3 linked regions of the Macaca mulatta genome follow. The main gene of each other region encodes a partner of the protein of the gene in region 3 in a complex. Links are inferred from orthologs where the notes say so. Each region holds a gene or a part of one and is shown on either strand. Other genes may lie near its edges. The genes, in order: OS9, UBE2J1 and HERPUD1.

Evidence for each region.
Region 1: HERPUD1 (region 3) and OS9 share a complex: the UniProt entries of both Homo sapiens proteins name them as parts of the HRD1 complex. The link is inferred for Macaca mulatta from reciprocal best matches to the Homo sapiens genes HERPUD1 and OS9.
Region 2: HERPUD1 (region 3) and UBE2J1 share a complex: the UniProt entries of both Homo sapiens proteins name them as parts of the HRD1 complex. The link is inferred for Macaca mulatta from reciprocal best matches to the Homo sapiens genes HERPUD1 and UBE2J1.

Annotation. Positions count from the first base shown.
Region 1 is NC_133416.1:64,898,499-64,901,480, reverse strand, and holds the end of OS9 (protein OS-9 precursor), read right to left. Parts: coding exon 2,913-2,982; intron 2,000-2,912; coding exon 1,835-1,999; intron 1,693-1,834; coding exon 1,580-1,692; intron 1,300-1,579; coding exon 1,174-1,299; 3' UTR 525-1,173; downstream 1-524. UniProt on the Homo sapiens protein: Lectin component of the HRD1 complex, which functions in endoplasmic reticulum (ER) quality control and ER-associated degradation (ERAD).
Region 2 is NC_133409.1:96,637,105-96,641,453, forward strand, and holds the start of UBE2J1 (ubiquitin-conjugating enzyme E2 J1), read left to right. Parts: upstream 1-1,457; 5' UTR 1,458-1,774; coding exon 1,775-1,805; intron 1,806-4,349. UniProt on the Homo sapiens protein: Catalyzes the covalent attachment of ubiquitin to other proteins. Functions in the selective degradation of misfolded membrane proteins from the endoplasmic reticulum (ERAD) and is essential for cells to recover from ER stress.
Region 3 is NC_133425.1:52,538,845-52,542,493, reverse strand, and holds part of HERPUD1 (homocysteine-responsive endoplasmic reticulum-resident ubiquitin-like domain member 1 protein), read right to left. Parts: intron 2,728-3,649; coding exon 2,605-2,727; intron 2,065-2,604; coding exon 1,714-2,064; exon of another isoform or gene 1,606-1,713; intron 1,007-1,605; exon of another isoform or gene 1-1,006. UniProt on the Homo sapiens protein: Component of the endoplasmic reticulum quality control (ERQC) system also called ER-associated degradation (ERAD) involved in ubiquitin-dependent degradation of misfolded endoplasmic reticulum proteins.

The sequences.
Region 1 (2,982 bases), on a different chromosome or scaffold from region 3:
TAGTGAAGAAGAAAGGGAGACACCAGGCCCACATACCCTTGGCACACTAAGAAACTGGCATGTGTGGGCAGCAGCCCTCTCTCTGGGCATGCCCAAAGGTGGAGGTCTTTTTGGGAAATGTTGAAAGGACAGGTGGGTAGGGGTGTGGGTGACAAATGGAATCTGGAGCATGCTGTGGGCGAGACCGCAGCAGAAGGAAGATCCCTGCTGTGGGGAACTCCATGGTGTGCATTTTGGCTTTCAGGGTATAAAGGGGGAAATGATAGGGAAAGACTTGGTGCAAGAGAAGGGAAGGAACAGAAACAGACAGATGAGAAAAAGAAGATGACGGTACTGCAAGTGTTTCTTTCAATCCTTGCCAGGCCAGGCTTCATTTAGCCACTCTGGTCTCTTCCTGCATACCCCAGCCCCCGTTTATAGTACCTGGGGAGTGGGGAGCAAAGAACAGGATCAGAGCATGATCTGAAAAGAACACTGAGCCTCCTCCCTGCTGGAACCCCCACCCCACAAAAAAGGTTGACAGATTGATGGTCCAGTTCTTTATTTAGAAACCTGATTGTTCAAGAACATGGTGGATGCTTCACAGCTTTTTCACTGGGATTGTGCTGGAGGTGATGGGCAGCATTCTCCCATTTCCTCAGCAACAGAGGTGAAGGCTCCTCAACTCAGAAGCACAAATTGTAGGGGACAGGGTGGGCAGGGAAAGGGAGAAGGACATCTCAAGGCAATTCAAGAGAAGGGGGTAAAGCAACTCCAAACAGCACTAAGGGCAGGTGGAGGCCTGCTTGCTCAGTGCCTGCTAAGTGTCCTGCCCTCCTTGCTCTCTCTACCCACCTCCACTCAGAAGATCCTACCGAATCTCCAGGTAGGGAGCAGGGAATATCCTATCATTAGAGTACAATAACAAGAAAAGCCACAGAGGAAGAGGAAGAGGATTGAGCGAAAGCTCAGGAGAGCAAACATCACAGGCCGGGTGAGCTCTCAAGGTGGCTGCCAGCTGGGGTGGCAGCATTCACCCAGGGCCCCCACACCCACAGAATTGCCCGAGAGGTCCACAGCTCAGCTCCACTCTGCTGTTTGGCCCTCAGGGGTCCCAGGGTGGGGAGGTGGGGAGGAGGCAGGCCAGTCCAGGAAGACTCTGGATTCTATGAAGGGTCAAGTGCAGTGTTGGTCTCAGAAGTCAAATTCGTCCAGGTCCCCTGTGCCCTCCCCACCTTGAGAGCCCCACACCCGGCGGTAATTGCTCTCCAGCTCTTTCTGCCGCTGGCGTTCCTTCTGGGCCTCTTCAGCTCCCGGCACCTGGTGGGAGAGGGTAGAGGTGGGCTGGAGCTACTCGCTGTTGAGCCCAAGGAAGTCCTGGGCCAGGCAGCTGGGGGAAGGCAGGGAATGAGGACACCCATGTCCTGAGAGGCTCTTCCTGCATGGCAGCACTCTGAATCACTGGAACCCTAGCCTTGTCTTACAGATCAGGAAACGGAAGCTCAGCAACGGCATGGCTGGGGCAGGCCCACACCTCCACTCCAGGCGGGCTGGGGACAGGAGGCCTGGGGGCCAGGACTTGGGGGTAGAAGCCTCTCACCAAGATATTGAAGAAGATCTCCTTGAGGTTTCTTGTGTCCTCATCAGTCAACCAACGTGCACCCTCTTCAGTTCCTTCAGCCCATGGGCGGACAATTTTGATCTCAATTTTCCCTGGAAAGGAGCAGTATGCAGTGAGAGGAGAGGATGGCTGGGAGCCTCAGGGCAGGCCCCCTGCCCCACTGGTCCCAGCCCCTCCACTTCCGGCAGCTTGCCCTTCCGACAGTGCTGGGTCCAGCCGCCCTCCAGGGCCCACCTGCAGCTGTGAGTCCCTCCCTCTCCAGCAGCTCCTTCACCAGCCCCTCGATTTGTTTCAGCTGTGGGTTTTCCCGTTTCATCTCGAGGACAGTCAGATCCTGATTAGGGCCTCCGAGACGGAGCTTGGTGACCCGGACCCGGACTCTGTGCTCAGGATCCTCCTCTTAGAGGGGGAGACACACAGGGAAACACAAAGCAGAGGCATGACTCCAGGGTTAGGGGTGGCAGCTTTGGCAGCTATTCCATCTCAACATGTGTATGAGCCAGGGCTCAAAAAAATGTGTGCCCCCACTCCCAATTCAGCCTATAGAGCTCCCTCCACCAATTGCTGCCTTCCGTCTTCCCACCCTACCCAATAATTCTGCCCATCACCTATAGGAAAACAAATGTTTTCTGAAGCCAAAAGCAGGCCACCTGCACCAACAAAGTTTTGTCTGAAGAAGCAGGTTGGAAAAGTGTGGTCTCCTCCTCCATATGTTAGGACTTTAAAGACATTTCAATGTTTATAGGGAGAATGGGATGGAGGGTTTGAAACTGGAACATTTCATTTGGAACATCTGATGTCCACACCCATAGGACCCTATGAAATGGACACAAGGGGATGCAAGAAGAAGACATAATTTAAAGTCTATCCAGGCTATTGGCTCATGTGCGGCTGGGCTCTCCTATTCATGCCCTGACAGCTGGGGACTCTCTTGGTGCAAAGTCCTAAATGTTGACAGGTTGCATCCTTCATAGATGTGTGGTTTTCACATATAGACTCGCAAGCATTCAATTACTACCTACTGATCATCCATTGTGTGCCAGGCAGAGTGCTAGGTACTGGGTGTACAGGAGCAAACCAGAAAACAGGCAGACATGCTCTAAAAGCTGCTTCCCAGAGGGATGAATAGGAGGTAAGCACGCAAAGGGATGATGGTGATGGGAAGCAGGTGCAAGTGAGGACAGTGTTCCAGAAACCGGGGAGAGAATAAGCACCCTCAGAAGGGAAGGAACAGGGTCCCCTCTGGGAATAGGACCAGCTGAGGGATGAAAACAACGGACTGGGCTACTCCTTCTTGTCTGACTGCTCTCACCTGTAGGTTGGGGTGATGGAGGAGGTTTTTTGGGGACAACCCTCTTTTTCTTGTGCTTCTTCACCAGCTC
Region 2 (4,349 bases), on a different chromosome or scaffold from region 3:
ACCTGCTTTGCAGGCCTTGCTGTGGTAGGGCCTATTGCACAAATTAGGGGTTTTTGTAGAGCTGTGGCAGGAGAGGGTGTCAAGTGTTAGATATATCTGAAGATTCAACACAATGAATGAATGAAACAGCATTGGAGTTTGGTTTTGTTTGCATGTCTCAGCCAATCAGATTATCAGTTTACTATACAGAAAACAACCTCAGGGAATGGTTTAAAAGATACCATCTAATTTTAGATACCCTTCACTTTTTTCCTCCCAATTTCACCAAGAAATTCAGATTTATATTAACAATAGAAAACAAATCAAATTTAAGAGTTTTATATCTTTATATAACAGAATAAAACTTGCCCAACCTGATTAACCCTTTCTATCCGGCCCACCTTCCCAATCCCTCCCTCCTTTCCTTTCCTAAGGTAGGTTCCTACTCCTTGAGACTTTTGAACTCAGTCCTCTCTCTCGATCCCACACATTGGACAATGAAGCAGGAAGTGTGTCCTTTGAAGTTTAACCTTTCATATTTGTATGCTTTCCCTCAAATTCAATGTAATTCCTTTTTTTTTTTTTTGACAGCTTTTACATCTAAACAAACCAAAAAACCCAAAACTCCTGCAATGCCTAAAACAGCGTCTTGCACCTAACACACTACCCAAGAAAAAAAACTATTATGAATATCCAACTCCAGCCAGAGCCGTGACTCACGCCTGTAATCCCAGCACTTTGGGAGGCCGAGGCGGGCGGATCACTTGAGTCCAGGAGTTCGAGACCAGCCGGGCCAACACGACGAAACCCTGTCTCTATCAAAAATACAAAAAATTAACCGGGCGTGATGGCACACACCTGCGGTCCCAGCCACGCTGGAGGCTGAGGTGGGAGGATCGCCTGGGCCCAGGAGGTAGAGGCTGCAGTGAGCCAAGATCGCGCCACTGCACCCCAGCCTGGGCGACAGAGCGGTGACACCGTCTCAAAAAAAAAAAAAAAAATTCCTATTCCATTCCCTTATCACTGGCTTTCCCCCTCCTCACTTAACTCCCGCCCCCCGCAACAGGGACTGGATCTAAAAACAAAGCCCTTCCCAGACCCCGCGGGACCGCGCGCGGGCAGCCGGATGCGGACAGCTTTGCAGCCGGAGCCCGGCGCCCTCTCTGAGCTCTCCAGGGCCCGGGGATCCCAGACTTCGCCTACAGCGGGTAGGGCCGGAGCCGCTTCGCGCCGCGCGGTTCCTCGGTGAAACCCGCCAGCGCCTGGGGACGGACCCCAGAGGGTCCGGCGGAAGGCCGGTTTCCGGGGGCCGGAACGAGAGGACTAGGACGCCGCTCGCTCCTGCAGCTCCCCAAGCCGGCTTCGCGGGGCCGGCGGCGGCTGGGTAGGGACCGACCGCCACGAAGCTACTGCCACGTCAGGGCAACTTCACAAATCCCGGACGAGGGCGGGTGACGCAAGCCGGGCGGCCGCGACGGGGCTGGGCCTGCGGCTACCGGAGGAGGCTGACCTCCAGCCCGGGCGCCGGGTTCAGCGACGCCCCGGCCGGCGCCGGTGCCTGCCAGGCACTCAGGGAGGCGGGGGCGCAGCGGAGGAGGCGGCGCCATCGCGAAGCCAGCGCCTCGCCAGCACTCAGCCTTGCCACCCGCCCGCAGTCCGGGCTGGACTGGGCGGCATTTGCCAAGGCTCCTCGGCCAGGCCCCGTCCGCCCGAGCCGCGCTGAGACCTGGGCAGCGGCCGCGTGGAGAGGAGGTGGCAGCTGCCCGGGAGGCCGGAGCCAGGCCAGCGACCCGCCATGGAGACCCGCTACAACCTGAAGAGTCCGGGTGAGCAGGGCTGGGGCCCCTGGGCTAGGAGTGCGGAGTGACCCTGGACCCCGGGGCGGTCGCCGCGGTCCCCTCACGTCTGGCGCCACTCGCGGCTCAGCTCCTGGTTTCGCGCTCTACGCGAGACCGCCGCCTGCCCGGGAAGTGCAGGCCGCAGGGCGGGGTGGCCGGGTGGACGCCCGCTGCCAATCCCCCGGCCGGCCAGCGCCCGCAGCACCCAGCCTCCCCCTTTTCTCGTCTTCGCCCGGTCCCGTAGAGCTGGGTCAGAAACTCATCCCTGAGAACAGGTGTAAAGGTGATGTGGGTGGGCGATAGTCAGCAACCCCCTCGCTGTACCTGCATCCTGAACACCGTCGTTAATTCCCTCCCCGTCGCTGTCAGTGGACTATTAGCCTGCTGATTTACTCACATTTGAGGAGTTAGTCGTTTAAACATCCTATTTGCAGCACTTGGGCGAATGCAATTACAGACATAAAGGAAGTGTTCTGTAACTAAACCAGTTAACTGTAGAGCTAAAGCAAAACAAAACAAAAACAAAACAACAACAACAAAAAACACCTAGTTGAGCCCTGTTCTTGAGAGCTAACCTTGATTTTTGCCAGACTGGCTAATATGAAACATATCTGTCTTCAGTCGTAGGATTCCTTTCCTGCATTTAATGATCCTGCTTTATTTACACAAGCAGTCCCAGCAATACTAACCTTTACTTTCTGGTGCATTATAAAGATAAGCAACTAGCTTTCTCAGCTTAATGAAACAGGCTTGAAATAAATCATTGGATCCTCTAAATGGTATTTTTTCTATCTGTACCTTGATACATTTTGTCAGGGGGAAGAAACTCTACAGTTAACTCTGCATGATAAACTCTAGGGTATTAGTGATTTCACTAACTTTTGCGTTGCTTAACATTTCCTTCCAAAAAAAGCTGTTTCTCAGTAGGAATTAGCAAGACTAGCATCCTTATGGAAAGAGTTGACATTGTGAATCTTTGGGTTTTTTGTATGGTTTCAGAATATGCAAAAACCCCAGAAAAGCCTGAGGATATTGATTGGAGGGAGCTTTGTTAACCTGAGTGCTGTCAAGCTCAGAAATGTCCTTAGGTGACCAAGTGTGTAGAATTGGTCATAATATTTTAGGGGCCACTGACTCCTCAAAAAAATCTGATGAAGACCTGGCACGGTGGCACATGCCTGTAATCCCAGCACTTTGGGAGGCCTGAGCCCAGGAGGTGGAGAGCAGCCTGGCCAACATGGCGAAAGCCCGTCTCTACTAAAAACACAAAAATTAGCCGGGCATGGTGTTGGCGCACTTCTGTAGTTCCAGCCACTCGGGAGGCTGAGGCAGGAGGATGGCTTGACCCGTGGAGGCTGAGGTTGCAGTGAGCCAATATCGCGCCACTGCACTCCAGTGTGGGCAACAGAGCGAGACTCCATCTAAAAAAACAAAAACAAAAACAAAAAACAAAAAGAACCCCGGGGTGGGGAGGGAGGAAGAAAAGACCAAAGAGAAAGAGGGAAAGAAAAGCTTAATTTTTAAGGTAGATGGTAAAATGATTGAATTCTTTACATTGTGGTAGATTTAACTAGAACTGTTTGGGTAAAAATGTATGATGGCTTCCTGGTCACATGGTTCCTTAGGACAGCAGAGGTGCTCAGTGAAAGGTCCAGAGAATAATGCACATGTGAGTAGTAGTGCAGTTTGGAATGGAGAACTGGTGGAACCCAAGAGATTGTTGTCAGAAAACATCGCTCAATTTTGATAGGTTAGACGTAATACTATGATGATGTTTTTAAAATTCTTCAGAATTTTGTACATTTCCAAAGTATGTCAACTATTGTCAGCTGGTTGAGCTTTGGTTGACATGCTTCTAACTGTGTCATAAATTGCTTCCTTTTTTTGGTTTCATTTCCTCAAAGATAGTGTTGCGGTTCTAAAAAAAAAAACAGTGCTTCTTAAAAATCTATTTTTGTTAATGTGTGAATTATTTGGAGTTCATGGAGAAGTTGAATTAGGTGAGATATGGGACTTACTGAAAATGCTGGGAGGCATCGTGAAAATACTTCCTTCCTTTGCTTTATTCTCAGTCCTGTGTTATTTTTAGAGTAATGCCTGTGTGAAGGGGAGCAACTGAAAACTCCAGTTTCCTGCGTACGGCAGGGTGCACACACACGTAAAACACCAACCAACCAGACAAACAAAAAACAACCACACAACGGGAGAGACATAATCTTTTACTCTTTATCTGATGTGGGATTGTCTTTGATGTATGAGTGGAAAGATGAAGTGAAGACAATACAGATAGTTGGTTAAGGGCCAGTGTAGTAGCATGTGGATATAGTAAATTTGTTCATTTCATAGGTGGGGAAACTTTTTCCTTTATGGTGTTTTTTGGAATGGACTTGTGATTGTGGGTAGAGCTGTTGTGTAGGATCACCTCAAAGCCTCTGACTAACCTGTCAGTAGTTGTCTATGGATCAATTTACTTGACCCATGTTTGGGTCCGCTCTGGCCAAGGAAGTAGAGTCCTATAGTACAAAGTGAGTA
Region 3 (3,649 bases):
TGTGTTTTATTCATCATTGCACACCCAGCAATATAAATAGCACCTAGCACATGGTATGCACTCAATAAATGCTTATTTATATGAACTAAACCTTGCCCTTGAAAACCTGCACAAAGTGGGGAGAAAGCATATACCTACAAAACTATCATTATATATAACATAATGACAACCTACATTTGGTCATTTAAATATATGATTCTAGAGACTATAGAAAATATTAACTAAATGTTTGATTTGAAGAAACCAATTAAATCCCAAGTCTTAAAACAAATATAACAAAATATTAGCAATGATTAATTGTGGATATTTGAGTGTTCATTATATTCTAATTATTTTTTATTTTTAAAAGCTAAAATAAAAATCCATTTTTACTATAAAGGAAAATTTCTTCTTTTAGTTTCAACCATGAAGACTCATCACTCTAGGCCAGGCTTTCTCAGCTTTCGCACTAGTGACATATTGAGCCAAATATTTACTGTGGGAGTTGTCCTGTGCATTGTAGAAAATTCAGCAGCACTCTTGCTTCTACTAACCAGATGCTAGCAGGACCACTTCCCCTAGATGTGACAAACAAAAATACCTACACATTGCCAAATGTCCCCTGGGGAGAGAGAGTACAAAACCACCCCCAGGTGAGTACTGCTCCAGGCCACAGCTAAAACCAAATGTCAGGTATGTGAAGATTCCCTTGCCTTTCAGGGCTATGCTAACAGTCAGTGCCTGACCTTTACCCTGGAAGGCAGCTGTGGCCTGATAAAGGCAAATATGTTCTCATTCAAAACAAATACAATTTGCTGTTCCATGCCTCAGTATGGCTACATAATTCTGGTTTGTGAGCCTGGAAGGTAAGGTAGCTTATCTAGAGGACAAGAGAATATTCTTGTATTAATACAGGATTGATATGTTCTTGGGACCATACAACCAACCAAGGCATGAATTCCTTGTACTGAAAGTGCCATAATGATATACTATTTATTATATATTTATTCTAAGACAGGGTCTTGCTCTGTCACCCAGGCTGGAGCACAGTGGTGCAATCTTGGCTCACTGCAACCTCTGCCTCCTCAGTTCAAGCAATTCTCCTGCCTCAGCTACCCAAGTAAATCACAGGCCCGCGCCACCATACCCGGCTAATTTTTTGTATTTTTAGTAGAGACAGGGTTTCACCATATTGGCCAGGATGGTCTTGAACTCTTGGCTTCATGTGATCCTCCTGCCTCGGCCTCCCAAAGTGCTGGGATCACAGGCGTGAGCCACTGCGCCCAGCCACAGAATGATATACTATTTAAACACACCTCCTTCTATAGTAACTGAGATTGCTCAAAAAAGAGCAAATCTGGCCAGGCGCAGTGGCTCACGCCTGTAAAACCAGCACTTTGGGAGGCCAAGGTGGGCGGATCACTTGAGGTCAGGAGTTCGAGACCAGCCTGGCCAATATGGCAAAACCCCGTCTCTACTAGAAATACAAAAATTAGCCAGGCGTGGTGGCAGGTGCCTGTAATACCAACTACCCAGGAGGCTGAGGCAAGAGAATCGCTTGAACCCGAGAAGCGGAGGTTGCAGTGATCGTGCCATTATACTCTGGCCTGAGTGACAGAGCGAGACTCTGTCTCAAAAAAAAAAAAAAAAAAACACAAAAAACAAAAAAGAGCAAAATCTGCTTAGTGTGAACACAATGTAGCGTAATTTGTATTAGAGAAACCATCTGCTTACAGGTACATAACAACGGTGGCCCCCATGACCATGAGGAATCTGCTCAGGGAGGAGTAGAAGTAGAGGATACTGAGAAAAACAGAAAATGTAGCTGCTGAATAGGTCCAATCCAACCAATCTCGATTTATTTCATCATCTTCTTCCACAATAGGGCCACCTTGTGCATTCATCCGCAAATTTTGATTGGCTCCAGGATTAACAACCACTTGAGGAGCAGCATTCTGATTGGCTGGCTGGTTTTCAGCTGGAAACTGGTTGTGAATAGGGGCTGGAGCAGGTGCAGAGACCACAGGTATCTCTTGTGCACTTGGTGGTGGAACAAAAGCCCCCGATGCAGCAGTGGCTGCTAAACTAAAATAAAAATGACAGAGGCAGATACTGTTGAGACCAAAGCACCGTGAAGGCTGTGGCTTATTTACACAGCAGTCTTTTACTGTTAAGAATTTGAAGTAGGTAGATATGCATTTGATTTTCCTTCAATTTAGTGAAGAACTTCCTTACTAACTATATCTATAAATGCCTTTTCTAAGAGAAGCCACGTGGTGAATTTCACCTGGAATTAAACATCAAGGCCACTGTAAGATTATGGCACAGTAGCAAATTAAAATCTTCACAAAACTTTGAAGGTACCACAAATTGAAAAGAAAGTAACATGTTCTAAATAAAGTCACTAAACTGTGTATCAGACAAAAACACCCTTGTGTCAATATACAAATCAGGTAACAGCTGTCATTTACACTCTACTCCACCCACAGACCAAACAGAGCAGGGCTCTGCAGACTGATGAAAATACATTCATCCCTCCATTCTGAACTTTACAGGTAACATGGATAAAATTCCTCTCAATTCCCGGGAGCCCTGGCCACACCCAGCACAGCGGGAAGGACTCACTATTGCATGTAGTACTGTCGTGCATATATCTGCTGGAACCAGGAAAGCTGAAGCCACCCATAGGGTGTGTAACCGGAGAAACCAGGACCCAGGCCTTGGAATGCCTGCTGGGCAGCTTCAGGCCTATACACAGATTTAAAAAAACACTCATTTTGAGTGGGTTGAGTATGAGCAAATGAAAACTAAGTTTAAATTAAAATCTAGAATTCAAATGGAAGAGACAGAAGAATGGGATTTATGGCAGTTACATGGTAAATGACTGTATGATGCACCCATGTACCATAAGCACGGAAGGTACTAAATGACACAGCACTTCTACCACAGTCCTATCCCACAGGAAAACAACAGCCCTTGCCACCTACTTGCTGAGTGCATGTATAAACAACCTTTTGGGGTTAAGTAGATAGATCCCTGCTCAGTTTTGACTTGTTGAGTCTCACTGCAAGTCTCAACCCACTGTTTATCTTTTAGAGGGCAGCTCAAAAGTCATATTTCTCCCAGTCTTTCCTGAAGGAAATCTCTCCCATCCTCCTGATATCCACACTTCTTCCTCCACCCTCCATCTGTATCTATAGTGATGTGTGCATGTGGCATCACCTGCGCATGCTTACTGACTACCTGGGGTCCTGTACAGGCTGCTGCATCCACAGCAATCTCACGAAGGAGATTTTACAAGGGGAACCCAAGTACAGCTCAGGGAAGACAGGGGCTTTACACAAGGTCACTGAGCTAGTTAAGTAGCAAGGCTGGATTTCAGAGCTGGTCTGATGTCAAATGCACGCTTCTTCAATCAGGCCACACAGCCCTCAACTTCATAGGGCAGGTGTATGTGGGTTATCTTTGGCTTTGTGCTTCTTACACAGTGTATTTCTTCAGTAGCACATCACAAAATTGAAAGCATAATAGAATTGCCCGAAGATCAGAAATTGGTTATGTGGTCATTCCTGCAGGTCAACTCATATCCTTAAGCACAGTTATATGTACTGGCTGTTCAATAAGTATTTGTTAAAGGAAATCAAGTTTAACTATGGTGAGATTCAGAAAG